Linked DNA regions of Canis lupus familiaris. The protein of the gene in region 1 purifies or fractionates together with the protein of each later gene. This does not show direct contact. Links are inferred from orthologs where the notes say so. Each region holds a gene or a part of one and is shown in the gene's direction. Other genes may lie near its edges. The genes, in order: EZH2, SMARCA5, RBBP4, PHF1, TRIP12, SMARCA4 and FAM120A.

The links.
Region 2: the proteins of EZH2 (region 1) and SMARCA5 purify together in Homo sapiens (affinity purification with mass spectrometry, with the first as the bait; 3 studies listed by BioGRID). This does not show direct contact. The link is inferred for Canis lupus familiaris from reciprocal best matches to the Homo sapiens genes EZH2 and SMARCA5.
Region 3: the proteins of EZH2 (region 1) and RBBP4 purify together in Homo sapiens (affinity purification with mass spectrometry; 12 studies listed by BioGRID and IntAct, with this or other methods). This does not show direct contact. The link is inferred for Canis lupus familiaris from reciprocal best matches to the Homo sapiens genes EZH2 and RBBP4.
Region 4: the proteins of EZH2 (region 1) and PHF1 purify together in Homo sapiens (affinity purification with mass spectrometry; 15 studies listed by BioGRID and IntAct, with this or other methods). This does not show direct contact. The link is inferred for Canis lupus familiaris from reciprocal best matches to the Homo sapiens genes EZH2 and PHF1.
Region 5: the proteins of EZH2 (region 1) and TRIP12 purify together in Homo sapiens (affinity purification with mass spectrometry; 3 studies listed by BioGRID, with this or other methods). This does not show direct contact. The link is inferred for Canis lupus familiaris from reciprocal best matches to the Homo sapiens genes EZH2 and TRIP12.
Region 6: the proteins of EZH2 (region 1) and SMARCA4 purify together in Homo sapiens (affinity purification with mass spectrometry; 4 studies listed by BioGRID, with this or other methods). This does not show direct contact. The link is inferred for Canis lupus familiaris from reciprocal best matches to the Homo sapiens genes EZH2 and SMARCA4.
Region 7: the proteins of EZH2 (region 1) and FAM120A purify together in Homo sapiens (affinity purification with mass spectrometry, with the first as the bait; 3 studies listed by BioGRID). This does not show direct contact. The link is inferred for Canis lupus familiaris from reciprocal best matches to the Homo sapiens genes EZH2 and FAM120A.

Annotation. Positions count from the first base shown.
Region 1 is NC_049237.1:1,636,664-1,640,163, forward strand, and holds part of EZH2 (histone-lysine N-methyltransferase EZH2), read left to right. Parts: intron 1-669; coding exon 670-839; intron 840-1,206; coding exon 1,207-1,301; intron 1,302-2,533; coding exon 2,534-2,574; intron 2,575-2,946; coding exon 2,947-3,072; intron 3,073-3,500. UniProt on the Homo sapiens protein: Polycomb group (PcG) protein. Catalytic subunit of the PRC2/EED-EZH2 complex, which methylates 'Lys-9' (H3K9me) and 'Lys-27' (H3K27me) of histone H3, leading to transcriptional repression of the affected target gene.
Region 2 is NC_049236.1:43,050,807-43,054,306, forward strand, and holds part of SMARCA5 (SWI/SNF-related matrix-associated actin-dependent regulator of chromatin subfamily A member 5), read left to right. Parts: intron 1-698; coding exon 699-831; intron 832-3,500. UniProt on the Homo sapiens protein: ATPase that possesses intrinsic ATP-dependent nucleosome-remodeling activity.
Region 3 is NC_049223.1:68,051,763-68,056,019, reverse strand, and holds the start of RBBP4 (histone-binding protein RBBP4), read left to right. Parts: upstream 1-1,457; 5' UTR 1,458-1,602; coding exon 1,603-1,618; intron 1,619-2,199; coding exon 2,200-2,347; intron 2,348-3,208; exon of another isoform or gene 3,209-3,369; intron 3,370-4,257. Other genes in the region: ZBTB8OS (protein archease), read right to left, coding at 721-853. UniProt on the Homo sapiens protein: Core histone-binding subunit that may target chromatin assembly factors, chromatin remodeling factors and histone deacetylases to their histone substrates in a manner that is regulated by nucleosomal DNA.
Region 4 is NC_049233.1:2,998,984-3,003,151, forward strand, and holds the start of PHF1 (PHD finger protein 1), read left to right. Parts: upstream 1-1,368; 5' UTR 1,369-1,497; intron 1,498-2,215; 5' UTR 2,216-2,234; coding exon 2,235-2,393; intron 2,394-2,485; coding exon 2,486-2,567; intron 2,568-2,675; coding exon 2,676-2,771; intron 2,772-3,201; coding exon 3,202-3,302; intron 3,303-3,395; coding exon 3,396-3,544; intron 3,545-3,744; coding exon 3,745-3,840; intron 3,841-4,017; coding exon 4,018-4,086; intron 4,087-4,168. Other genes in the region: kinesin-like protein KIFC1, read left to right, coding at 60-104. UniProt on the Homo sapiens protein: Polycomb group (PcG) that specifically binds histone H3 trimethylated at 'Lys-36' (H3K36me3) and recruits the PRC2 complex. Involved in DNA damage response and is recruited at double-strand breaks (DSBs).
Region 5 is NC_049246.1:42,284,206-42,287,705, reverse strand, and holds part of TRIP12 (E3 ubiquitin-protein ligase TRIP12), read left to right. Parts: intron 1-299; coding exon 300-491; intron 492-1,767; coding exon 1,768-1,919; intron 1,920-3,393; coding exon 3,394-3,500. UniProt on the Homo sapiens protein: E3 ubiquitin-protein ligase involved in ubiquitin fusion degradation (UFD) pathway and regulation of DNA repair.
Region 6 is NC_049241.1:50,658,908-50,663,195, reverse strand, and holds the start of SMARCA4 (transcription activator BRG1), read left to right. Parts: upstream 1-1,488; 5' UTR 1,489-1,521; coding exon 1,522-1,649; intron 1,650-4,288. UniProt on the Homo sapiens protein: ATPase involved in transcriptional activation and repression of select genes by chromatin remodeling (alteration of DNA-nucleosome topology).
Region 7 is NC_049222.1:98,994,421-98,997,920, reverse strand, and holds part of FAM120A (constitutive coactivator of PPAR-gamma-like protein 1), read left to right. Parts: intron 1-1,919; coding exon 1,920-2,061; intron 2,062-2,482; coding exon 2,483-2,579; intron 2,580-3,500. UniProt on the Homo sapiens protein: Component of the oxidative stress-induced survival signaling. May regulate the activation of SRC family protein kinases. May act as a scaffolding protein enabling SRC family protein kinases to phosphorylate and activate PI3-kinase.

The DNA of each region.
Region 1 (3,500 bases):
GCTCCCTGGGTTAGTGCTCGCTGTGAGGAGAGGGCCGAAGCCAGAGAACTCCCTCGGGGGTGTGGAGCTGCCTTCTGCCCTCACCCCGACCCCGCACTCCGACCCCAACCCCAGCCTGGCCTGTGCAGACCGCCTGCCCGGCTACTGGAAGGTCAGCGATGCGGTGTGTCGTCCTTCTCCGTCTCTCTGAGACAGGGCATCGTTCTGGTCAATCCTGTGGCTGTGCTGGGGGTGGTTTTGGTTAGAAGAGCCCGTGGGAACTCCCGACCAGTGTTTTGCTGCTGGGGTTTTCCATGTCCATTCAACCCACAACTCGCATCCTGAGTAGCAACGGGAGATACTCCTCAGCTTTCATTTTGATTTAAAATTTCTGTATTAAGTAAGCTTTACACCCAGCGTGAGGCTTGAATTCAGGACCCCGAGATCCAGGGTCACGTGCTGCCCTGACGAGCCCCCCGCCTGTGAGCCAGCCAGGCGCCCCCTCAGCATCTTAGAAGGTTGTGTCAAAGGGAACCAGCCCTGAGCTCCACGGGAGACTTGCAGATGGTTCCCGGCTGAGTTTATTCTCAGCACAAGTCGCTTCCTGCTCTTTTCTTCAGCACAGCCCTGAGGTTTACTTATTGACTCTAGTCGTCCTTTCTTGACCAGTGCTTCACTTTGGTTTTCCAGAAGCAAATTCTCGGTGTCAAACGCCAATAAAGATGAAGCCAAACATTGAGCCTCCCGAGAACGTGGAGTGGAGCGGCGCTGAGGCCTCCATGTTCCGGGTGCTCATCGGTACCTACTATGACAATTTCTGTGCCATTGCCAGGCTCATCGGGACCAAGACTTGTCGGCAGGTGAGCATGTCTGACACCGCAGTTTGAGAGCTTGAGATGGGGGATGAGCAGTCACTGTCCAAACAGACCGTTCTCGGTTCCTCTTGTGCTCCTGCTCATGTCCCGAAAAAGAAGTCAATTGGTGGTGTTTTCCACTGGGAGGGACCTGAATGAAAACGATTCTAACGACTATGGATATGTCGGGGTGAGTCTGCAGCCCAGTAGGGTCAGGTCAGCCTCGGGCGCCTACTGAGAGTGGCCCAGCCCCTGGTAGCACCCCCACCCCTGGCAGCACGGAGAGGCCAGAGAAGCTTCCAGCAGGGGCGGGTCTGGGGCGCTTTGCCGGAGCTGCCAGTGCTCACAGCCCTGTGACCACACCTCTTGTTAGGTGTATGAGTTCCGTGTCAAAGAATCGAGTATCATTGCTCCAGCCCCGGCCGAGGACGTGGACACCCCCCCAAGGAAGAAGAAGAGGAAACACCGGTAAGGCTGGGTGGGTGGCTTCTGCTGTGGGTTGGATGCCAGAGTCATGTGGCCGCACACGCTCGCTCGCCAGTCTGTTCCTCTGCCTGCAGTGGCCTGGGGTGCGGGGAGTCGGGACAGCGACGCTCACCGCGCTGCCCTTCAGTTCAGGGAACCTCTGCACTGGCTGCTGACCACAGGCCCCACCTGCACGAACCGAACCCGTGCCCTGCGTGCGGTGTTGAGGGTGATGGGAGCACCAAGCTGCTTGGAGTCCCAGGAGCCTGAATTTTCTTCATGCGAGTCACTTCTTTTTTTTTTTTTTTTAAGATTTATTTATTCACGAGAGACAGAGAGAGGCAGACACAGGCAGAGGGAGAAGGAGGCTCCTTGCAGGGAGTCTGATGTGGGACTCGATCCCGGGACTCCAGGATCAGGCCCTGAGCCAAAGGGAGATGCTCAACCACTGGGCCACCCGGGCGTCTGTTCTTGACAGATGCCCCGCTGACGCCCCTGGAAGTGGGGGCGCTGAGGGAGGAGGGAGCGCGGCCGCTTGGGTTTGTGTGAGGAGCTGCCCACCACACCGCCTGCCCCCCCACACCCGCGACTAGGGGTGCAGGACTGCACTCCGCAGCTGTGCACCCGCTCATGTCCCCTTTCTTTCGGGAGGTGGCTAATTTAGAACCGGAAGAACTTAGCTGTGGTAGGTCCAGCTGAGTTTCTTGGTTGAATTTTGATCATACAGCCTCTGTCAGTGGTTAAAGATGCCTGAATTAGAGAAACGGTACTATTTCAGGCTCCTCCCATCCCCAGGAGCCCAGGTTGGGGTGAGTCCTCCTCGTGGTCATAGCTGAGCCTCCAACACGGGGCCACTTAACATGGGTTTTCTGATACCGCAAATGTATTTTCTCAGGATTTTCTCAACAGTTTCTTCTCTCTGGCTTGCTTTATTGTAAGAACACAGTATAGAATACGTAGGACGTAGAAAATCCGTCCTAACCAGTCATCAGTAGGGCTTATGGGCCACAGGCTAGCAGTAGGTAAGTTCTGGGGAGTCAAAAGTTACTTGCAGATTTTGGGTGGCGGGAGGGGTCTGTGGCCCTAACCCGGCGGCCGGGGGCCGGCTGTCCTTGGATCCAAAGTGCGGTTATGTTCAGGGCACGCATTGACTTGCGCAGGCAGCTTCTGTTGGGTTTGTGCCGTGACCCGACTCCTTAGCCTCACAAGGATGGCTTCTGTTTTGTGTCTTGCAGGTTGTGGGCGGCACACTGCAGAAAGATACAGCTGAAAAAGGGTTAGCATCCTCCGTTCATAATTAACTTAAAAATGCCTGCTCATTTGTTTGAGAATAGTAACTGGATTAGCGTTTGGGATGTTCTGATGTAATTGACTTCAGTACCCGAAGCCCATTTAGAGGGAGGCTGTCTGCGGAGTAACTTCCGGGTGGGTGGCGCGGGGTGGCCAGTCAGTTACGGAAGTGTTTGGGGGCCGGGGTGACAGTGCTCTGGCCTTGGCCGGCACTTGGGGGTGGGAGGTGGCGTCTCCAGTCACTCGGAACAAACAGTGTGGAGGACGTGCCGCAGCCCGCAGGTGGCGGGGAAGGCCGGATTCGCGGGCGTCGTGTTCCCTCGCCTCTGGATTGACCCGCGCTGCTCTCCTTCCGCAGACGGCTCCTCTAACCACGTTTACAACTATCAACCCTGTGACCATCCACGGCAGCCTTGTGACAGTTCGTGCCCTTGTGTGATAGCACAAAATTTTTGTGAGAAGTTTTGTCAATGTAGCTCAGAGTGTAAGTATTTCGTTTTGATGACTTGTGTGAGTTCCTGTTTTATTTATTTATTTATTTATTTTTGAGTTCCTGTTTTAAATTGCTGACCAAAAGCCTGTGGAAGCCAAAACAAGGCCATGGCAGCTCTTGCTTTGTTGTATCCTTTTTAGGAAACGCATTTACCCCACAGGGATTTATGGGGCCCCATTAAGGGGTTGTGTGCTAGGGGCCTGCGCGGGTCTGTGGGCAGGTTAGAACTGGATCATGGAAGTTAAGTCATAGTAGAGTTGGCACAGAACGTGGAGGGCATCTGGAGGTGGCCCCCAGGTCCTCTGGCCCCCAGAAAGCGTCAGCGCAGTGGGGCGTGAGCATAGTGCCATGAGCGGGTACTGAGGGCACAGCTGCGTGGATACCGAGGAAGCGTCTAGAGCTCTGCGCCCTTGGGATGG
Region 2 (3,500 bases), on another chromosome or scaffold:
AGAAGTTAAACGGAATTCAAATTAATTTGACTACTTGTATGTAGTTATTTGAAAACTAGGATTTTTATATTGTTTGTGGAGTTCTTTTTTCATGTTACTTCTTTCCCTAATAGCAATGAAGTTTGATGTATGATTTAGGTGGGAAAACAATTTGAATTTAAAACTAAGAAAAAAAGATTTAAACAATTTTTTATCATCCACCTTAAAATTTATAATTTTATCTGTCTTATCTGGAGATGTGTGAATTTTATTTATTATTTATTTACTTTTAAGATTTTATTTATTTGAGAGAGAGTAGGGGGAGGAGCAGAGGAAGAGGGAGGGACAAGCCAACTCCATGCCAAGTGTGGAGGCTGACTTGGGGCTTGATCTCACAAACCTGGCATCATGACCTGAGCCAAAATCAAGAGTTGGATGCTCAGCGGATTGAGCCACCGAGGCACTCTTAGAAACCTGTGACTTCTATATCAGTATAACCTAGAAGTTTTCCTTGTGAAATAATCAATTAATTTGATTGAAACAGAGAAGCTGCAAGGATCTGAGAAATATTAATCTAATAAAAATCTATTTTTAGAATAGTTTTGTTACATTAAAAACTTTCACACCTGAGAATATTTTAGTTTTCCGTTTTGGTATACACAATCAAGTATTATTTGTGTAATTTTTAACTATTCAAAATAACATGGTAATTTGCCTAGGACCGAGCACATAGAATTGGACAAACCAAGACAGTCAGAGTGTTCCGCTTCATAACTGATAACACTGTGGAAGAAAGAATAGTGGAACGTGCTGAGATGAAACTCAGACTGGATTCAATAGTCATTCAACAAGGTGAGTCTTAGAATTGTAAAAAAAAATTACCAAGTTGTATTGACAAATGTTTTTTTCCTAGATTTTCTGGAGGTTCTTATTATTGACCATCTGTGGGATCAAGCTAGCGGCATGAACAATATTTATATTCCAGAAAATAGTAAGCTTTAGTTTTTCATAAGAGGATGGGTTTAGGCTGAGGAAGATTGAGGTTTGCATTTGGCTTTGCCAGTTAGGTCTTTTATAAACCTTTTGAGCCTATTTCCTCATCTGTTAAATGGGAATAAAGGGAATTGAAGTTCAGGATTTTTAAGGATTAAAGGGGATAATGTATATAAAATACCCAGCATTCAGTGTGGTACATACTAAATATAGCTGTGGTAAGTATCATTTATATGTACTGAAAAGCACTCTGTTAATTATTCTGGGGTAAAATGAAGACATAAAGATGAAACTCAAAGAATCTGATGTTATATTTTGTTTTCTAGTCTACACCTGTTTACTTAACAGCACCAGGTTCCAGGCATTGATTGGTCTTAGTGCTGAGAATAAAATGGCGAAAGAATGCAATGCATGTGTCCCTACTTTCATGGAGTTAATTTGTAATTTAGTGAGAGGGATGCTCAGAATAAATGTTTATGTAAATAGGACTAGAGCTTGAGAGTGGGATTTTATTTTGGGTTGATTGAAGGGAACTAAATTCTCATGCCAGATTAGCTTTTAAGGAAGACATTTATGTTTTCATGAAGCTTTATTATAATAAGGTTGGTGATGGGGTGTAAAGTATTTATTAAAGTATAAATAAAGTATTTATTCCAGTAAAATGGAAAAATAGAAAAAAAACCCTTCAATTACCTCAGGGTCATATAGGTTTCTTTCATTCTCAAATTTGCATTTTGAGCATGTTCTTTTATCTGTCTATAAAGAGAGACTGTTAATATTGTTTGCTGATGATTCCATATTGTGTGTCTTCATTTTGTGAACTGCCTTTTAATTTCTGTGTAAAGGAATGTTGCATTTCTTTTATATCCTCTTAATGCCAACCATAGTGTTAATCACACCTCTGAATATGTGAAGACAATAAATGATGGCTTATTATTAGTTTTATTAATAATTATTTATTAAGTGCTTACTTTGTGCCATGCAAGGTGCTAAATACTTTGTATCCATTATCTCATTTAGTCTTCATGCAATTTTGAGGTTGGCATAAGAAGTAGAGGCAAGTCACTTATATACCATTCATGTAACTAAGAAGTGACTTATCTAGGACCAAGAAGTATATTAACTATTAGAGTGAAGTGTTTACATGCGAAAGTCTTTGGAACTTGCCAAACAGTAAGGTTTCTCCTGGATAATGTAATGGCGAGTTCTTCTCCCTCTCATATTCATCCATGTTTTTAGAAAAACACCGGCCTTATAGTATTTTTAATTATTTTTATCTGTGAAACATTTTTGAAAAATGAAAATTATAATCAACTTAGAAAAACTAAGTTTTTTTACTTAGGTTTTTGGTTTTATTGGGGGTACAAATTTTGTATATGTGCTGCTGAAGTGAGCATGGGGGTGGGGCTTAAATTTTAGAGCAAAATTTTGTGCTAATAGCTCTGTAGGCATTAGTCAAAGAGCAAGCCTCAGGTGTATCTCTTTGTATTACTGTCTTGCAGAGTAAGAGATGTAATTAAAAATAATGAGAAATCATAGAACTGCTTTCTGTCTGACCAGCTCCCCCTCTGTCCAATGGGGAAGTAGTTTCAGTAAGACAGACCATTTTGTTAGTAGTGAGGTAGCTTTCAAATCAAGAAACATGTTCTGTAGATACATCCTAACTTTGAAATTCATAGATGTTGGTGGATTCTGTTAGGGATGCAAAGCTGTGATACACAAGCATTTAAGATCCAAGAGAACAATTTGATCTTTATCCATACTCCTTTATTACAAGTTGATTGGAATACAAAAAGTGAAGCTTTGTGTAAGTGAAAATATTTCTTGATATTTTTGTTTTTGATGCTTGTGTTTTCGAAAACACAAATTATAGGGTTGACCTATAATTCCTACCAATTGAAGATCTTAGTTTTCTTATGTTTAAATTTCTTCTGTGATCAAAATAAGCTTTGAAGAGTTTCAGTTCTTTAGATTAGGAAATTTAATTTATTTAGTCCCTAGATAAAGTTTGGCAATATGAAGGTTTTTTTTTTTTTTTTTTTTTTTTTTTTTTACACGTTACCTTTTTTCCCCCACTTCACTTTTCGAAGAAAAAGCTGATTGGGGAGTACTAGTATTAATGTCTTTCTGCTTATCAGAACTTCTTGTGATTATGATTTGATCTCTTGATATTTAAAAAAAAAACTTGCTAATTGTGATTTTCAAATATTCCAGCATGATACTATTCAGCCCATATAAGAATACTTTTTATTGGGCAGCCCCGGTGGTGCAGCGGTTTGGCGCCGCCTGCAGCCTGGGGTGTGATCCTGGAGACCCGGGATCGAGTCCCACGTCGGGCTTCCTGCATGGAGCCTGCTTCTCCCTCTGCCTGTGTCTCTGCCTCTCTCTCGTTCTCTCTGAATGAATGAATAAATAAAATCTTTTTTTTTAAAAAAAGAATACTTTTTATTGAGATATGGTATGCAGTAGGTTTCATTATGTAATGATGGATTAACAGGATATTTCAAAGTTTACAACTAAGAGTGGCA
Region 3 (4,257 bases), on another chromosome or scaffold:
TAGCAATCTTTAGGGATGATAGCTAAATGTTTAAATAGAAGATCAGAATATGTACTATACTTTTGTGTTTACTATTATCTCATTTACTCCCCAGTTAAGGAACTATGGTGCCATGAGAGATTATATAACTTGCCACAAGTTATGAAGCTGTTCATGGCAAAACCAGGTCTTTTTTTTTTTTTTTTTTTTTTTAAAGATTTTATTTATTTCTTCACGAGAGACACAGAAGAGAAGCGACTCCTCGCAGGAGCCGGAGGCGGGGCTTAATCCCGAATCCCGGGATCACGCCCTGGGTTGAAGGCAGACGCCCAACCGCTGAGCCACCCAGGCATCCCCAAACCAGGTCTTTTTACTAAAAGCACGATCCAGGTAAAACACCAAATTACATGTCCCCTACTCAGCTAAGTCCTCTAACCTAATGATACTCTAACCACCCCACTGTTGGGAAACACATACGGGCGACCACCCGGCAAATGCTTGAAAATACGTTTATCTTTAGAATGAAGACACTGGTAAAATTCCCACGAGGTAATGGGACTAGGTAAATGTAGAAAGAATTCAAGGAACCATAAAAGTGGCAGCCCAGTTTTCTGACTCTCAGGCCAGGTGGCTGTTCCCTTCAGCACTCCCGGCTGAAGCACCTCAGGGGCAAAGCGGAAGGCGAGACCGGAAGACCTGGGCAAGGCGAAAGGGCATGAGAGAAGTGAGCCATCTACTCACACTCGTACTTCCGAATGGCTGGAGGATACTTGGCCTTGATCGCCTTCTGCTCTTCAGTCAAATTGTAATCTCGAATATCTTCCTCTTCCTGCGCCATAATTGCCGCACTGGACACTCTACTTCCGCCCTTCATTAGCTGGACTTCAGCCCTGATTTACAACTTCCGCTCTAGACTCCGCCCCTTGGCACGCGCCCTTAAAGCACCAGGACCCCATTCTCGCAGATAGACTTTATATGGTTAACACTTCTGTCCTAGGACTCGCTGCCGGAAGCACATCTTTAATAGGCTTCGGCCCTATTTCTGCGTTTCTTCATCCGTTCTAAGAACAAAGGAAACATACACACTGGAGGACGTGGGAGGAGGGAGACACTTTAGAACTAAATACCCGCTTGTCTGGGTGGTGAGAAGCCTTTTCTTTTTACCTCACAGAGTCGATAACTACACCCGAAGCCACCCTAGATTTCTCATCTGAGTACTTTTAAAGTGTCGGGAGCTGCACAGCTTTTAAGAAAATGGCTGCCCCCTGGAGAGTGCGGACTAAACCTCTCACGTGACCCGACGCGCGCACTCCCACCGGGTCCGCGCGCGCGCAATCGTAGGAAGTCGGCTCCCGGCCGTGTCGGGGCAGGGGAGGGGCGCGCACCTCGGCACCGCAGAAAGCGACTCTGCGCGTCTGGATAGGCTGCAAACGCGGCTTCCCCGCCCACCCCGCCGTTCGGGACGCTGCGATTGGCCGGTGTTGGCGCGAAGGTGCGCGAGTAGGCCCTCACGCAGGGGCAGCAGGAAACAATAGAGGCCGCGCGCGCAGAGCGAGCGCCTGTAGCCTCCCCGCCCCTCCCGCAGCGCTCGACCCCGGGATCCCCCCGGCTCGCCTGCCCGCCATGGCCGACAAGGAAGGTAAGGGCCGCCCCGGGAGGGCGGGGGGTGCCGGGCTGGCGCCGCGGCCTCGACAGGGCCTAGCAGTGAAGGCAAGCCCGACTCTTGAGTGCTGTCCCCACCATCGAAGGCGTGAGGAGAAATCGCCCCGCGGGCGGGCTAACGGCGCGCCAGTTCCTCCGACACGGAGGCCGGTGGCCGCGGTGTGGAGCTGGTGGGGGGGCCCCGGCGGGTGTTTGGGCCCTCCCCGCGCTCGCTGTCGGCCTGCCCGCCTCTCGCGTTCTGCGTGCGCTGCTCCCTACCCCGGGGGCCGGTGCGCGGGCCTCCGCGCGGGTTCCGTCGATTCAGCGGGAACGCGAGCGTGCTCCCGAGGCCCGGCGCCGGCGCCCGAACAGCTAACGGGAGTGACGCGCCCCGCTAGCCCGAGAGTAATTGCGGGCCCGCGAGGCGGGGAGGGGTGCAGGTCGCTCCGCCTCGGGGACATTTAGACATATCTGCTCCATTTCAGAATCTTGACTTAATAAGCAGTGCCGGTAGCTTTGGAAGCGTTGGCTCGGTTTCCATTTGTGTTCGCTAACTTAATTTGTTTTTTAACTTTTTAGCAGCCTTTGATGACGCAGTAGAGGAACGTGTGATCAACGAAGAGTACAAAATATGGAAAAAGAACACCCCTTTTCTTTACGATTTGGTGATGACCCATGCTCTGGAGTGGCCTAGCCTAACTGCACAGTGGCTTCCAGATGTAACCAGGTGATGTGAATCTCTTGAACGTTATCTTGTGTCCTCCTCAGCGTTGATTTCTCACGTTGATTTTTCCGTGTCTTCCCCCAGTCACCCGAAGAGGGCACGTAATGATAACCTATGGGTGATGTTTTTTTCCTAGGCCAAAAAATAATACAAAATGTAAAAATAGTTTTGCAATGTACCTGATAAGAGAAAACTTGTTTTCTTTTCCTGATAACGAATTGAATAGCCTGTTATAATTACAGTTGGAAAATAATGTAAAATGTGTCAGTTTTCAAAAAAAGCTATGATTTCAGTTCTTTCAGCAAAATATTTGAATTGTAGGTAGTAGCTGGTTAATATAAAGAGGTATATGACATGGTACCTGCCTTCAAGGAGCACAAGTGTAATTGAGGCCCATGTAAACTAATAATTACAGTAACCTATGCTAAAAGCAGTTTTACAGAGATACTTAGGATATTTAGAACTAAGAACTGAAGATGGGGTGGTTTGGGGGTTTTATATAAGGGAATTATGCATAGTGAGAGAGAAATCACATGTAGGGAAGGTCTTAAATGTGACAAGCTTACCTCTAAGAAGGTAAGCTTAATAGTACTTAATTTACTTTCCATTTGTTTAGTCTGCTAGGTGCTATAAATTAGGGTGTACAAGTTTAGATGGACACCTTCCCTGCCTTGATTTCTTGTGTATATAGTATGGTAGATTACCACCCCCCTTATTTGTAGGGAGTATGGCCAAAGATCCCCAGTGGGTGTCTGAAACCACGGATGGTACTGAACTCTGTTATGTTTCTGAACATACATAATTGTGATAAAGCTTAATTTATAAATTAGAAACGGTAAAAGATTAATAGAACAATGGTTATATAGCTTTGTGCAGGGGGCAGTATCGTAGCCAATGAGGTTTATCCGAGGCACGATTATTGCTAATAAAACAATGGTTATAACAACATACCATAATAAAAGCTGAGTGTGATCTCTTGCTGTCAAAATGTTTCACTGTAATCACCCTTCAAGTAATATTGTTGAGAAAATGCCTGTGTGATGAAGTGAGGTGAATGACATGGGCATTGTGATGAAGTATTAAGCTACTTATTTACCTGATAAATCAGAAGGGAGATCATCTACTTCTGGAGGGCATCGTGGTTGACTGTGGGTAACTGAAACCATGGATGGGGGTTTTCTACTGTATTACAGTAAAAAGTATCATAAGAGTAGCACAGTTAAAATGATCAAGGGAAGGAAAAATCACCTCAACTTAGGGTATCATGAAAGGCTTCCAGGAGAAAGTGACAATGCAAAGATGAAGGTGAATTTAAATAATTAAAGGTTTATCAAGACCAAAGTGCCTGTTGGAATAATGGGTTTTCTTTTATAAAATTGCTTCACCATTCAGAGTAACATTTAAAAATTATATTGTGTGCTGAATAACTAAATTCCTTCGAAATTCATCTCTTTCGAGTTCAAAATATGGTTATTAGGCTATGTTTCAGCTCAACAAGTAATAGAAATTTTATTAATTACTTAAACAGGTTGCTACCTTCACAGTGGCATTAAAAAATGAAGAAGTAGAGTTGGAAGCTTTATCATGATCCATGTTCACCTATGGGTCATCAGAATTGCTTGAGCTCGAGGAGCCTGGGTGGCAGTCTGTTAAGTGGCTGACTCTTGGTTTCAGCTCAGGTGGTGGTCTCAGGGTCAGGAGATCGAGCCTGTCACTCTGTACAGAAGACTTCTTCTACCCCTCCCCACACACTCTACTCCCTTGGGCTTGCACTCACTTGCACTCTTTCTTTTTTTTAAGAAAATATATTTATTTTATTTGAGTTCAGGTTAAGTGGAGTCATTTCTGTCAGGAGTTCTCAGTGATAGTCAAATCATTTAGAAACTGGTGGCAGGGGGGATCCCTGGGTGGCT
Region 4 (4,168 bases), on another chromosome or scaffold:
AGAAAACTGTTATTTTGGTTACTCACAAAATATTTTTATTCTAAAACCTCTGCCCGCAGGTGAACCAGTGTGTTATTGGTACGGCCCAGGCTAACAGGAAATGAAGACAGATCCAGATCCTCTGTTTGGGAAGGGGGGGTGGGGGTGGCGCTGAAGGATGCTTTGTTGGGGGGAGGGGCGCTCTGTGACCTGGGTCTATCAAATAAAGAACAAGTTTTTTTTCTTTAAATAAAGGTTTTGTTAACAATGGCCCGTATCTGTAAAAATGGGAACTGTGGATCGTCTACTCTGCCGAGTATTTGTGTTTTGCAGAGCAAGGGTTTCAGCTTTTCTCTACCTGGCTATCTCCTGGAGACTAGATGGTTACCCTGGTTGTCCGCCTCTAGGAGATGTGCCCACTGGCCGACCGCCGTCACTGGTTTGCCGCAGGCCACCCAGCTCCACGCGGAGAGCTCGTCTGGTGGGTGCGGGAAAGTGGAAGCCCGAGTCCAGAGGCCGGGCCAGCGAGCCCTCCTGCAAACTGCGGGCTCTCCCTCCCGCTCTTTCCTTGCCGTCCCATTCGAAGAACTGGGGCCGGCCCGCCCGCTGCCCATTGGCTGGCTCTCGGCGGCGTTACCGCCTCGCTACTAGCTCTCCCGGTCCGTGTACCCGCCCTACAGGCGCTGGGTGGGCTGCACGCCCGCTGACTCGCTCGCGCCAACCGCCAACGGCCACCGCCCGGCAAAGGAGGGGCTCGGTCCACCCAGGTGCCGCGCGCGGGAGGGGTCACGCATGCGCAGAAGCGCGGCGGCGGTGTGGCGGGGGGAGACTTACCACGGGGAGGGCGGGGCCGGGGCAAAGGCGGGAGGAAGGCGGGGCACTCGAGGGAGGAGGGCGTGGCGGGGGCGACGGGACGGGTGAATGGGGGGCGGGGTCGTGAACTGGGGCCGAGGGGCGGGACTTGGAGTGACCATGGAGGTTGGGGGGGCAGTTAACGGATGTGGCATGGGGCGGGGGCCAGGCTGGAGACCAGCTGCGGGGAAGGGGGGGATTCCCTGCTGCCCCGAGGGCGGATCTCCCTCCGAGGAAGGGGCTGCAGGGATTCCCTCTCGCACTGGGTCTTGACTTTCCACCCGCCCCAGCCGTGGGGAGGCCGCCACCCGTTCGGCGCCCTCCAGGCCCGTTGGAGGTGAGGGAGGTGGGGTGAGGTGGTGCCCGCCCCCCCCCCGGCTCCTCCTTCCCCTCAGTCCTCCCCTCCCACTACCCTCCCCCCGAGCCGGTTTGTCCCTCCCCTCCCCTCCCCTCCTTCCCCCCGCCGCCTCCTCCTGCCGCTGCCGCTGCTTTGGCTGCTGCGTCATACGCCCCAGAGCTGCCGGGACGGAGGGGCTGGGCCTGGGGACCCCCCGGCCCTTGCCTGCCCGCCCTCCGACGCCCAGACGTGCCCTCCCCGCGCGGGGGGTTCGCCTCGGTCTCCCACGTCTGCCTCTGCCCGGCTCCCGGCGGCCCCAGCTGTCACTGGTAAGGAGGCGGCGGGAGGCGCCCGTGGGGGGGGGCAGGGAGCCGGGGGTCGGCGCGCAGGGCGCGGGCGGGAGAGCCTCGCCGCCCAGGCATCAGCTCGCGCTGGGCTGACTCAAGTCCCCTCTCGGACTCGCTGTCCTGGGGAGTAGAGACCGGGACTGGGACACGCCCCCCTCCCAGGGCACTCAAGGAAGTTATCTAACCCGGGGGACAGGGAGCCCCGTATTTGAGGGTGACCTGCCATAACCTGGCATCGGGATTATTGTTCTGGAGACACAGGGGCCCGGGGAGGCAGCCGTTTCTAATTTGGAAAACATTTCCAGAAAAGCTCCCAAAACACATTCTCTGGGTAGCAGAACACCCCAATTACAGTATCTCTAAACAGAAGGTGACAGTAGAAACTGAATGGTAACCTTTGCTTCTGCAACCATCATTCCTCCTAAAATCTCAAGGCCAGGATACAGTATCCCAGGGGAGCTCTGGAAGCTGGGAAACTAGAGAACTAGGTTGGGGGGTGGGGGGTGTTAGGGAGAGGAGAGCCAGTCACCAGAGTTGGAAAAGCTGGAGTCATGAAGCTTGGGAGGGGTGCTGTGTGATTTCCTATCCAGGTATTTCATATTTGGAGACTGGTAGCACAGCTGCTTGAGTCCTTGAGGCATAGAAAAATGGGGACAGTTTCTCAACATTCATAACCTTCTCCCATCCCACTTCTGGATAGCCCCCCCCCCCAGGATGCAATGGCACAGCCCCCCCGGCTGAGCCGCTCTGGTGCCCCCCCACTTTGGGACCCAGCCTCCCCTGCTCCCACCTCAGGCCCCAGGCCTCGACTTTGGGAGGGTCAAGATGTGCTGGCCAGGTGGACGGATGGACTGCTATACTTGGGGACCATCAAGAAAGTAAGACCTTTGACTTCTGACTTATTACCTTCCCCCCATTCTCCTTATGTAGTTCCGATTCCTGTTTCATCTCCTGTGCTCATCCATTCCAGGTGGACAGTTCCCGGGAGGTGTGTCTGGTCCAGTTTGAGGACGATTCCCAGTTTCTGGTTCTATGGAAAGACATTAGCCCTGGTGAGACCTTAGAGGCCCAAATATATGCATGCTGTGGAAAGCAGAAACCTGGCTTGGGGGATGTAAAGGGGGCTTAAGGACAGGCCCCACAACACTGTTCCCTCACAGCTGCCCTCCCCGGGGAGGAACTCCTCTGCTGTGTCTGTCGCTCTGAGACTGTGGTCCCTGGAAACCGGCTGGTCAGCTGTGAGAAGTGTCGCCACGGTGAGAGGGCAGGATACCTAAATGGTCTAGCTTGCCCTGAACCTTCCAGGCTGCCTCTAAGTCTTCCCTCCACCACTGATCCTTAGGCCACCTGTCCTGGCTGAGTCCCCAAGCCACTGCTCTGGCCAGTCTGCTCAACTCTGTAACCTCTCTTCCAGCACAGGGAGAAATAGCCATGGAATCAGGAGGTGTGGGCTTTGTAGACAGAGGATGGTTCAAATACACCTTTACTAACCATAAAACCTTGGGCAAATTCCCAAGCCCCTAGGAGCCTGTCTCCTCACCTGTAAAATAAGGGTAACTTATCTACTGCAGCCAGATCACAGTCAAAGATGAAATGAGGTGGCCCAGACTCCTCCTATCCCAGTCACTAGCACACACAGGTATATTGTGCAATAAATGGTCTACCATCAATATTATCATTATTCAGCTTATCACCAGGACTGCCACGTTCCAAGAGCCCCAGCCCCTGGAGAGGGAGAGGGCACATCCTGGGTCTGTCGCCAGTGTGTCTTTGCCATTGCCACCAAGGTAAGGTCACCATTCTGTGGGAGCCTCCCCCACCACCTCTCCCAAGCCTTCCTGTTCCCTACCCGTCTGAGGTGGCCTGTTTCCTCCCTGCAGAGGGGGGGTGCACTGAAGAAGGGCCCCTATGCCCGGGCCATGCTGGGCATGAAGCTGTCACTGCCATATGGACTAAAGGGGCTAGACTGGGACGCTGGACATCTGAGCAACCGACAGCAGAGCTACTGTTACTGTGGTGGCCCTGGGGAGTGAGTAAATGAGGGACAGGGGTGGAGGAGTGGTGGGGAGGGAATGAATGATGGAGTGGGTGGGGGGATCCTGGGGAATGAAGGAGAAAAAATAGGATGAAGGGAGTGCTGAAGAAAGCAGAAGTAGGTGGTGAGTAGGGTTTGGGGCCATTCAGGTCGGGGCAGTGTCTGGAGGTCACCAGTCCTGTGTTCCCTCTCAGGTGGAACCTGAAAATGTTGCAGTGCCAGAGCTGCCTGCAGTGGTTCCATGAGGCCTGCACCCAGTGTCTGAGCAAGCCGCTCCTCTACGGGGACAGGTGAGATGGGGCTGGCTCTCTGGGAGCCAAGGGAGAATACTCTTGCCCTGCTCTACCCTCTCAGGCCCCCATGCTGCTTCAGCTCCATGTCTCCCCAGCCTCTGAAGCTCACCTCCCCTACGCACCCCATCCTTATTCATAAGTCCTCCACGCTCTCTCCCCCTCGCCCACTTCCAGGTTCTACGAGTTCGAATGCTGTGTGTGTCGGGGTGGCCCTGAGAAGGTCAGGAGGCTACAGCTTCGCTGGTGAGTGGGCACCACCTCCACATGGCTCCTCTCTCAGCACCCCCAGCCTCCCACCTTGGGCTCTCCAGGCTTTTGTATTGAC
Region 5 (3,500 bases), on another chromosome or scaffold:
TTCTCATTCTTTGTCGTCTTTATTTATTTACTGTTGGTTGAATGTGAGAGTTCTTTTTTATGTTAGCGGTATGCAAGCTGTTTTTCTTCCATGAAATACTAACATTTTGTGATTATATATGTAAGATCATAGTTTCCAAGGATCCACCAAGAATGCATCACTCCCTCCGCCTTCTCTTCATTTTCTTTTGTTTTGTTTTAAAGATGTTCAAAATGTATTCTTTTTTGAGGAAATGTGAACTCCACATTTAGTTAGGACTGTTTAAATCAATATGGAAAAACCGTTCCCAACTCTTTCAGGTGGATGGTGGAGCTGAGTGCCTTGTAGAAATCCGTAGCATAGTCTCAGAGTCTGATGTTTCATCATTTGAAATCCAACATAGTGGATTTGTGAAGCAGCTGTTACTTTATTTGACATCTAAAAGTGAAAAGGATGCTGTGAGCCGAGAGATCAGATTAAAGAGATTCCTTCACGTATTTTTTTCTTCACCAGTAAGTTACTTCATAATGCTCCTATATCACCTTAAAGAAATCATTGGTCACTGATGTGTGTATTTTCATCACAGTAATTTCAATTAGATGCTAGTCAGGATACTTCAGATTTCTAGCTTGTGATACAGTTGGATTCCTTGGTGTTTTTTATTTGTTGTTGTTGTTTTAATATCAAGTATATTAGTAAAGCAATGGAATGGTGATTTAATGGCACAGGTGCCACAGTTTCCATGGTTAGCGTGTCTTGAGTCTTTTCTCTTTAAGACCAGCCATTAATAGCCTTTCACTTGTGAATGTATTTTATTCTCAGTATTTGTTTTTAAATATGTTGTAGTTCACAATATGTACGTATAGGGAGATATGGTAAACATAGCTATAGGTATAAAATAGCATGGGTATATACTTCTCCATTTTGCATATAAAATACAGCATTAACAGTTCTATTTGAGAGTACTCAATCACCATTTATACTCTGGATTGGAACACCAGAAGGCTCAGAGACTCCCCTTCCTTCAGCCTCAGTGGGTGAGAGCAAGAATGTAACTACTCTTGGATATTAGTGACTTTACATCATTCTACTTGTTACAAAACTACTTGAGAGAAGGCATACTCAGGATCCTCTGTGTAGTAAGGCTAAGGCTGATTCTTCTGCATGCTAGTGAAACCTTTCGCCTGGCCTTTCAGGTTTGTAGGTATTTGAGCACTTCTTTCATTGTTTTAACTTGGCTACCTAAAGCAGATTTGATATTTGTTTGCAGTGCATGAAATGTGCAGCAATACTGGATATAGTTTTATACCATGTTTAGGATTCTGTACAGGTCTGTAATCTCTTAACTGAAACTCCTTGGGGCAATAGGTTTCAAAAGTTCTATAATACAGTACATATATATTACCTGATATTCCCAGTGGATTCTAAGTAGCACTCTATACTCGTTAAATATTTTTGCAGCAAAGCATATGAATATTTCTGCTCAGGAAAGATACAGACTGCAGATGGCCTCAGGTCTCTTGGAGTCAGGTCTCACCACTAAATATGTTGTGTTTTCAAGCCTTTTAGATTGAGGAATTCCGAATAAGGGATTGTGGACCTCTACAAAGAGTCTCTCTCTGAAGTAATTTATATGGAAATAATCATTCCAACCAAATCTATCAAAAAAGATAAAAGAGAATAGATGAATGGCTCTCTTTTGTAAAATTGCCTGTTAAATTTTCTTGTTGAGGAGTGTTCCATTTTCAATAGGCCTTGCTTAACCTGTTGGTTTATTTATAACTTTAGCTTCCTGGAGAAGAGCCCATTGGAAGAGTAGAACCAGTGGGTAATGCGCCTTTGTTGGCATTAGTTCACAAGATGAACAACTGCCTCAGCCAGATGGAACAGTTTCCAGTCAAAGTACATGACTTCCCCAGTGGGAACGGGACAGGAGGCAGGTAAGGATCCCTGCCTGGGCGTGCCCTTGCCATCGGAGTGTGGGGATAATTTTATTGATGTAGAGTGGCAAGAGGTCTAGTAACCTCTTCATCTGCCCAAAGACCATTTGGTCATGATGACTGAAGAAAAGGACTTTTTATTTTTAAAAGCACTCCCCATGTTCTGAACTTAATGTTCTGGAAATACCTATCCCAGCGGCTATGTTGGCAACCTGTGATAGACCTTAGTGTTCCTAAAACTGATAAATTTTAATGTCTATTTCTTCTCTCCGTGAATTTTGTTGATCTGGATAATAAAATTGCGTTCTGTGCAATACTGTGATTTTTCTATGTGATGTAAGTGGTTCTACCTTTGAAGGGTTTTAACAAATAAGTGTTGAATATGAACTTTTCTTGTTTCATTAAAACTTTGTATATTTTCCGTAATATCACAGTTTTACCGAACTTAAGCCTTATGGAAAGAATTCACTGTAATAGTTTATTATTGTATTTTACTTGATGTTACAAGGTTTCTGGAAAATTATGACTAGGAGCCTATAAAAACAAGAAATTAGTTTGGTTTTAAAATACACAATATGATGTTTTGAAAACATTTTATTAAAACAATATGCATTTTTGGACAGATAAAGAGATCTATGTGGGCTAGAGTTTTTTCTGCCTTTGAAAATTAATATGGAATGTGGTTTTCAATTTTGATCATTATACTGTCCTGGAATATTTTTTGAAATATTGGGGCCATTTTCATCTATGCCTGAGAAAACAATGAGGTTTTTCATTTTTACCCAGATTTGTATAAAATAATGTAGGTTTACATATATCTATATCCTGTCTAATGGAATATTCTTTCCCATACCCCTATTTGCATGCCTTATGGAGTCTTACAGATAACTGCTTTTTAAGCTTGTCTGTGTGTGTCTTAACTGTTGTCAGCCCTTTACAGAAATGAGCAATTAAATATTACCAGGTTTAGACTGGCTTCATTCAAAAGAATATAGCAAAGTAAATTTTATTTTATTTTTTTTTTTAGCAAAGTAAATTTTAAACGTTTGTTTTTAAAGTAATTCTATAGCAGAGATGTTTGAACGCAAAAAACAGGGCTTTTCCCTTTGTTTTTAAAGCCATAGAATTCAGTTAGGCAATGGCAAAATACTGTATAAGTAAGCATGCTCAAATGGTTGAGGAACTTTTATTCTGGAGAAATAGTTAAATCTTGGTGGTCAAGGATTTCTGCTCACAGGGATTTCTCATGACAGAGATCAAATGATGATTTAATGTTTACATATGCATGCATGCACACCCTTTTTATTTCTTTATAACAACTTTCGCTAACTCAAATTGCTGGCTTTTTACATAACTGGTAAGTGCTTATTTTTTGCCTTTATAAAATGCAATTTGTAGTGTCTAGCTTTGGTTTGAATTAATTATGTTGATTTTGAAAATAATAGAATAACTTTTTTTCACAAATTATCTTGAGCTTTTCTCTCAACAGAGGATCACAGGCTTTAAAATTTTTCAACACACACCAGTTAAAATGCCAGTTACAAAGACATCCAGACTGTGCAAATGTGAAGCAGTGGAAGG
Region 6 (4,288 bases), on another chromosome or scaffold:
TCCCAGTGCTAGAAATGATACAGTAGACCCCCTTATTGGTGGAGGACACAGAACCCCAGTGGATGCCTGAAACCATGGATAGTACTGAACCCTATCTGTACTGTTTTTCCTATACATACATGCTTATGGTAAAATTTAATTTATAAATGCACAGAAGAGATTAGCAGTATGAACATTAATGTGAGGAAACTTCATTTAATAGAATCAGGAGGACAGAAGGAGGAGCACTCAAACCCCACTGCTTGTTATCAGTTGTAGACCCAATAGAAAAAGACCTGTCTTTCAAGTCACCTTGCAGGTCATAGTACTTTACTATCCCAGCTGAGGAGGAAAGGCTTTTCTTTTCTTTCTTTCTTTCTTTTTTTTTTTTTTTTGGAAAGGCTTTTCTTCTGCCCCAGCAACAGCCCAGCCAATGAAACACTACTGCACTTAAAACTCCCTATTTACTCCAGTGGGCTGCTTTTTTTTTTTTTTTAAGATTTTATTTTATTTTATTTTATTTTTAATTTTTATTTATTTATGATAGTTACAGAGAGAGAGAGAGGCAGAGACACAGGCAGAGGGAGAAGCAGGCTCCATGCACCGGGAGCCCGATGTGGGATTCGATCCCGGGTCTCCAGAATCGCGCCCTGGGCCAAAGGCAGGCGCCAAACCGCTGCGCCACCCAGGGATCCCCTTTTTTTTAAGATTTTATTTATTTATTCATAAGAGACCGAAAGAGGGGCAGAGACATAGGCAGAGGGAGAAGCCAGCTCCCCATAGGGAGCCGGATATGGGACTCGATCCCAGGGCCCCGGGATCAGACCTGAGCTAAAGGCAGTCGCTCAACCAGTGAGCCACCTAGGTGCCCCAGTGGACTTCTTGTTCATAACAGCCCTTCTGACTTCCCCCTTTCCTTCCAGAAAAGAGCATTCTTTGTTCTCCAGACTTGCCTGTGGTTTTGCCATAGCTTACTTGTCCTGGATTGTAGTTCTCTGCTCCTCCTGAATGAACACATTTTTGTAGGTAAATTAACCAACAGTTTTATTTTTCAGGTTAACAACTTATAATAAAATGGAACACTTATGACAATATAATGTATTAATGTGGCGAATGTGCTCTTTGTCTTTGAGAAGACCTTATTGTACTGTACTCGCCCTGCTTATGATGATATGAGATGATAAAATGCCAATGTGATGAAATGAAGTAAGTGACATATGCGTTGTGACGTAGTGTTAAGCTACTGTTGGTTTTCTGGCAAAATGCAGTGGGAGGATCATCTGCTTGCGGACCAGGGCTGACTGGGTAACTGAAACTGGAAAGCGAAACCTGCATTGGGGGGTGGGGGGGGTGGACTACTGTACTTGGTGACAGAGGACTTCACATGTCTACATTTTAGGTAGAGCGGATAAGACACTATAATTATCATGACGGGTTTTTTTGTTTGTTTGTTTGGTTGGTTCTGAAGTGTATTCCTTTTTAAATGTAGGACAAGGTTTTGCTACTTAATTATATCTGCAAGGAAAATGCTCAGCAGCCAGCATGCAACAGCTAGTGTTGGGGAAGCACTCAGGAATAAGCTATTTCCGTATGTTACCTAAGACAACAGATGCCTCATCCTGTACGCTCTTCCAGGTTCACAGACCATGTGCCTCTCACCATCAGGTCAGGTGTGGACAGTTTTCCTACTACAGTGTTGGGGAGAAACCTTGTTTTGTAGTTTTATATTTAAAAAAAATTTTTTTTAAAGATTTTATTTATTAGAGGGGGGGGGAAGAGGCAGAGGGATAGGGAGAAGCAGACTCCCTGCTAAGCAGGGAGCTGGACACAGGGCTCCATCCCAGTTCCTGGGATCATGATTGGAGCCAAAGACAGACACCTAACCAACTGAGCCACCTGGGCACCCCTTGTTTTGTAGTTTTTTTTTTTTTTTTTTTTTTTTAAGATTTTATTTATTTATTCAAGAGAGACCGAGAGAGGCAGAGAAACAGGCAGAGGGAGAGGCTCTCTCTCCCCACAGGGAGCCTGACGTGGGATTCCATCCTAGGACCCTGGGATCACGACCTCAGCCAAAGGCAGATGCTCAACCACTGACCCACCCAGGTGTCCCTTGTTTTGTAGTTTTTTTGTTTGTTTGTTTTGTAGTTTTAATGTGACAAATAAGACTGCTTTTGCTGAAGGCATCATGCCCAGCCTCCATGATCAGCCTAAGTACCCTGCCATGGCTGGGCCATGGTGTGTCTGCCAATGAAAATACATAGGGGAACAAAGTTCTCCATGCCCAAAAAGCATGGGGCCAAATTTAAGTATAATGCTGGTTTTCAGGCAAGATAGGAAAAAAACAAATGCAATCATAATCTCAGCAAGCAGATTTTAGAGGGTCCCAATTTAGTGTTAGCAGTCTGTCCTGCTTCGGTGGCTGACCACCACCATTCTTTTTATTTTCACTTTATTTTATTTTTTCTTTATTTTTTCAATTTTAGTTCCACTATAGTTAACATATAGTGTTATATTGGTTTTAGGTGTTCAATATGGGGATTTAACAGTTCTATCCATTATCTCAGTGCTCATCGTGGTTAAGTGGAGTCTTTAATCACCATCACCTATTCCACCCATCCTTCACATCCCTCCCCTCTGGTAACCACCAGTTCTCTAAAGTTAATGAGTCTGTTTTTTGGGTTGTCCCCCTTTTTTTTCTTTGTTCATTTGTTTTGTTTCTTAAATTCCACATGCGATCAGATGGTATTTGTCTTTCTCTGACTTATTTCATTTAGCATCATATTCTAGATCCATCCATCTTGTGACTTCTGTTCTTTTTTGTAAGAGAAAAGCAAAGGTTGGTGTGAAGGAAGAAACTAGATGTACTCCTTAAGCAGTCTGGTTCCGCATTTGAATGTCGATAGATGTTTCTATTTTAAATGATAATTTTGATGAAGTTGAAAGTAGACAGAAAATAATGCAATTCTCAAATTCTTTCATCTTTTTTTTATTTCCACAAAGGTACTTCCCAGACATCTTTTCTGGGTTTTTATTTCTAAGGTATTTTTCTGATCTAGTCTGGTTTGTTTGTTTGTTTGTTTGTTTTTAAACTATGATTACAAAAGTAATAGGTTATTGTAAAAAAATAAACACACGAAAAACACCAGAGATCTGTGATGTGGAAAGTGTCAGTTCCCCATCATTTACCTCCTGACAGCTGCTGGCCACTGCCAACCAGGGTTTGGCAAGTTTTCTTTGGGCTGGCTTCTGTGTTCAGCTGAACCTGCATAATGTCTTATTCTTAGCAAAGTGGGGTTTGGGCCAACCACACCTTACACTGATGCCTCTTTCTTTCCTCTGTTTCATCTTGGATCTTCTTCCACATTCGTGTGCATGAAGCTCCCTCATTTTTAAATAGTGTTCTGCTTCTGGGACATAGATTGTGTGAGGGTTTTGACTGCTCGGCAATTGGGATGATTCTCAGAGAAATCAAGGTGATGTGGCCATGTTACCTCAAGACCCATTGGCCCTGGGGACCTGTTTTCCTCTTGCAGCTTGCTGGATGTCTTAGCTTTCAGGTTTTTGATTCTTGACCCAAAGCAGTTTTACTTCCCATCACATTCCTTTGGGCTGCCTACCTGGATTTCCAGGCTCCATTCCCTCCTTTAGAGCCCCCCAAACACACGTGATCCATGGGCCACATATTCCTTGATTAGGCTTCCAGATATACGTGTAGAGTTTTCATTGTTTTGTCCCTCTGTCCCCTTGTCCTTACTTTTCTCATCTGCTTAGGTGTGGCTGTCTGGTTTAAGATGGATTTCAGTTTTGTGCTTAATTATCTTCTTTTTCCCAGCCCAGACACCAAGTGACTTGTCACAGAAGGACTTGTAGGAGTCCAGTCTGAACAATGAAAGCCCCCTGAAACTCCCAAGACCATGGGATGACCTTGGGGGCCCAAGGAATTTGCTGAAAATTTAAAATCCTTAGTTTACTAAGTAGGAAAGGTAGAGGTATTTGGTGAGGAGGAAAGAAGGGGGTTGAGGAGAAGGCTGTTCCTTGCTCTCAGATCTCACTTCACTTCTGAAATTTCTGGCCAAGCTTGTCAGGCCCTCCTGAGTAGGCAACTCGCTAGAGTACAGTAGTGCCAGGTCCCATACACTCCCCAGTTCTCAGGAGGTGCAGGCCCACCCCTGTCCTTTAAGGACGGTTGATTGGCCAAAAGGAGTTTGAGGCTGGGTGAGAACACCATGTTTGTGGCGGTGGGATCTAAGAGGCAGAGGATAATTTGTAGCAGCTCAGATCCTGACCACTGATTGCCAGGGTGGACCTC
Region 7 (3,500 bases), on another chromosome or scaffold:
CTCCGCTGTCCCAGCCCAGCACCACATCCTTGCTGCTAGGCCCGCTCCTGGCCCCGTCCCCCCCCACCCCCACCCCAGCTCTCTGCCTTCCAGGGGGCCTCTGGGTGTCCACGCGGCCCCATGTGCCCAGCCCCAGCGTCGCCTCCTGTGGTGGAACAGGCTGCAGACGGTGCTCATGGGCGGCTGCTCCCCGACAAGAGGATGAGCTGGTATAGAAGGTTCTGAGGCCGTGGCAGGATTCCTGGCACAGAAACTGCCCACAGACCACTTCATGGGAAAGATTTTTAAAGAAAGCTCTAATACCATGTAGATAAATGGGTTTATTTTAAACTTCTTTTTGCTTCTCCTCTTGTATGTGTTAGCCTCACGAGGGAGAAAAAAGGCTTAATGTTTACTTCTGAAATAACGTCTTGTGATTTTCTGTAATTAGAGGGTGTGATTTGTAACCTGTCATATGTCCCGTACTTTGGGGCTGCGGAGTGAGACCCGGCCACCCACCCAGGTACAGGGCTCTCCACATACATGTGTGAGCAACGTTAGGACAGGACAGTCTTTCTCTCCTGCCCAGGAATGTATTTGCGGCTCAGCTCCTTGGGGGAGCAGGAAAGACTCGCAGGCCAACGCAGCCCCCGCTGCAGGGCCTCTGGGGCCAGGTCTCCCCTCACCAGCCCCGCATGCCCTTCCCTGCCTCCTACCGGTGCTTTCCTTCCTGCCACGCCACACAGTGTGCAGTTCGCGCTCTGCTTCACCGTCGGCTTCAGCTCCCTGCACCCGTGTGGACGCTCACATCAGCGTGCCCTTGGGATGATGCTCTGGGTGGGCTGGTGGCTGTGGACGCTGTGGGGCAGAAGTAGTTTCTTAGACTGAAATGGCAAAGAGGATCCTGCTACATAACTTCCCCCATCTTGTGTCTGAAGCTCAGCTGTCCTGGGGACTGACCGGCAGACACCTTAGCTTAGCTCTGGAGCACTCGGCCTGTGCCTGCCTCAGCAGAGCTGAGCCCCAAACACAAAACACACATCCAGTTGTAGACCAAACATGGAAAAAAAGACCACAAAGTATCTAACTAATAGTTTTTATATTAAGCTTATGTTGAAATGATACTATTTTGGGTCTGTTGGGTCAAATAAAACATATTACCAAAACCTGTTTCATCTGTTTTCATAGTTTTCAGCGTGGCGTTTAGGAACGTGAGGCTTATCATAGGTCTCATTGGGCAGTGAACTGTCCTGATGGAGAGTTTATTATAATCCACTCCCATCTGCCAAGAGATAAGAAACTTGAGGTTCTCTTCTGTTTGGTTTTTATCAGAAGTGTTCCTAGCAGTTAATTATTTGAGAATTTTCTTCGTTAAGTCAGAAGACCTTAGAAAACGCAGGCGGTCCATAGCTAGCAGAAGTCAGTGAATACAGTGGGTATGTGTGACCCCAAGAGAGGGGATAATTAAACAGCACACGGAGAAATACCAGCCACGTTGACCGGTTGATTTGTATGATGCGTGGTGGAGGCAGGAGGCCTGGAAGCAGTTCCCCAAGGAGAAAATGTGCTGAGTTTGCCAGCGTCCACTGTGATGTTGGAGACGGCTCACCGCGAGCATCCGGTGGCAACACCTCGTGGAACCTTTTTCAGTCTAAAAGCTGTGCATTTGTAATGTGTCGTTTCAGTCGTTATAGGTCCTTTGAGAAGCCAGCACAACTGTTTCACTCTCAGGTGTACTTTTAACAGCACTTAAAACCATTGAAATCAAATGAGGTGCACATAGATACTTTACGTGATAAATAAAGAGTCTTCACAAAACCAGGGAGAGGGGTTTTATATGAAATACAGGCCACAATTGAGCAGAAATTGGCTTGCTTGTTTCATTTTGCTATTTTTAATTCCGTGATTGTCAAGATTTGTTCTGTTTTTTTTTTGTGCAGGAATCCAACCTATACCTTCTCAGGGAGGGAAGCTTGAAATCGCGGGCACCGTGGTCGGCCACTGGGCTGGGAGCAGACGGGGCCGCGGGGGCCGCGGGCCTTTCCCCCTACAGGTAGTTTCTGTTGGAGGACCAGCAAGAGGGTACGTTCTGAAAATGTACTTGTGTTAATAAGAAAACCACCCCTTGTTCTTTCAATTCTGACTCTCTCAATTCTGACTCATTAGATACATTTCTTTGATGTTCTTTTGGTTACATAGGATTCCATAATATGTGGCATTATGATTTATTTCAACCATTGTTAAATAACTATCCACACTTTATTCAATTAACCATTTTTCAATACTTAAAAAAAAGTAGCAATTTTTTGAAGCATTTTGGCTTAAGAATTGAATGACTGGATGTGGGCCCCAAAATAAGATCAATTTCTCAGAATGTTGGAATAAATCCCATGTGACTGATTTGATAGACCAGTGCTACTGTGTGAGATCGATATGGTTTTAAATGTCTCAGCTGCCTGGGCAGATTCAAGCCTGTGTGTCCTGTCCCCTTCTCTCCACTCAGGCGTCCAAGGGGAGTGATTTCTACCCCAGTGATCAGAACGTTTGGAAGAGGTGGACGGTACTACGGCAGAGGCTATAAAAACCAGGGTGTGATTCAGGTAACGTGCAATGTGGGGCAGTGCCGCGCATCCGAGGGATTGGTCTGTGGGGCTGGTGGCTTGAGGTCCTGGCCAGCTCCTCAGCCCAGGTGGACCGGCAGCGTCAGTGCTAAAGAGTGTGGTCTAGTCACAGCTGCACGGGGTGGCCCCACGACTGCTAGTGGTATTTATATTACAAAACGTTATTTAGAGAAATAGTTAGGATTTAAGAAGAAAAGTGCCGTCTTTTTTTCCTCCTGGACCGTCTTGACCAGCTCTTCCCCGAAGGCTCAGCCTATAGGGACAGCGCCGAGTACCTTCTGCATGGGAGAGCTAGAGTTTCCTCCCCCTTTGGATCTACCATGTTAGGACCTGGGGCCTGATGAACTTCCCCTGAGAAGGATCTTTAAAGAATGCCAGTCGGCCCACTTCTACAGTTAGGACGTTTAATCAGTCTGCATTTCCACCCCCACTGTGCAAACATCAGGCCTCTTTTGTGTCTCACGCACTGATAACCCACACACGGAGATGTAATCGGCCAGGAGAAACTGAGCTGCCTGCCTCTCTAAGCTGAACTCAGCATCTTAGAAACTTGTTTGTAAGATTTATTTTATTTGACTTGAGAGAGAGTTGTGGGGGGGTAGGGTGGGCAGAGGGAGAGGGGATCCTGACATGGGGCTTGACCCCACAGCCCTGAGTTCATGACCTGAGCAGAAACCCAGAGTCGGATGGACACTCCACCACCGGCTATACCCCCAGGTGCCCCGGAAACCTTTGCTTTGATGAAATACACCTAATAAGTGAGGTGCAAAGGCAGCCCCCTCCCTAGAAGCGGGGCCTGACAGCCCATCTGCAGTGCAGCACCACTTGGGCTAGGGGCTGTGCTCGGCTCACTGTGGTCCCCCAGCCCACCCTGACCGGCTTCTGCCTTCAGAGACACAC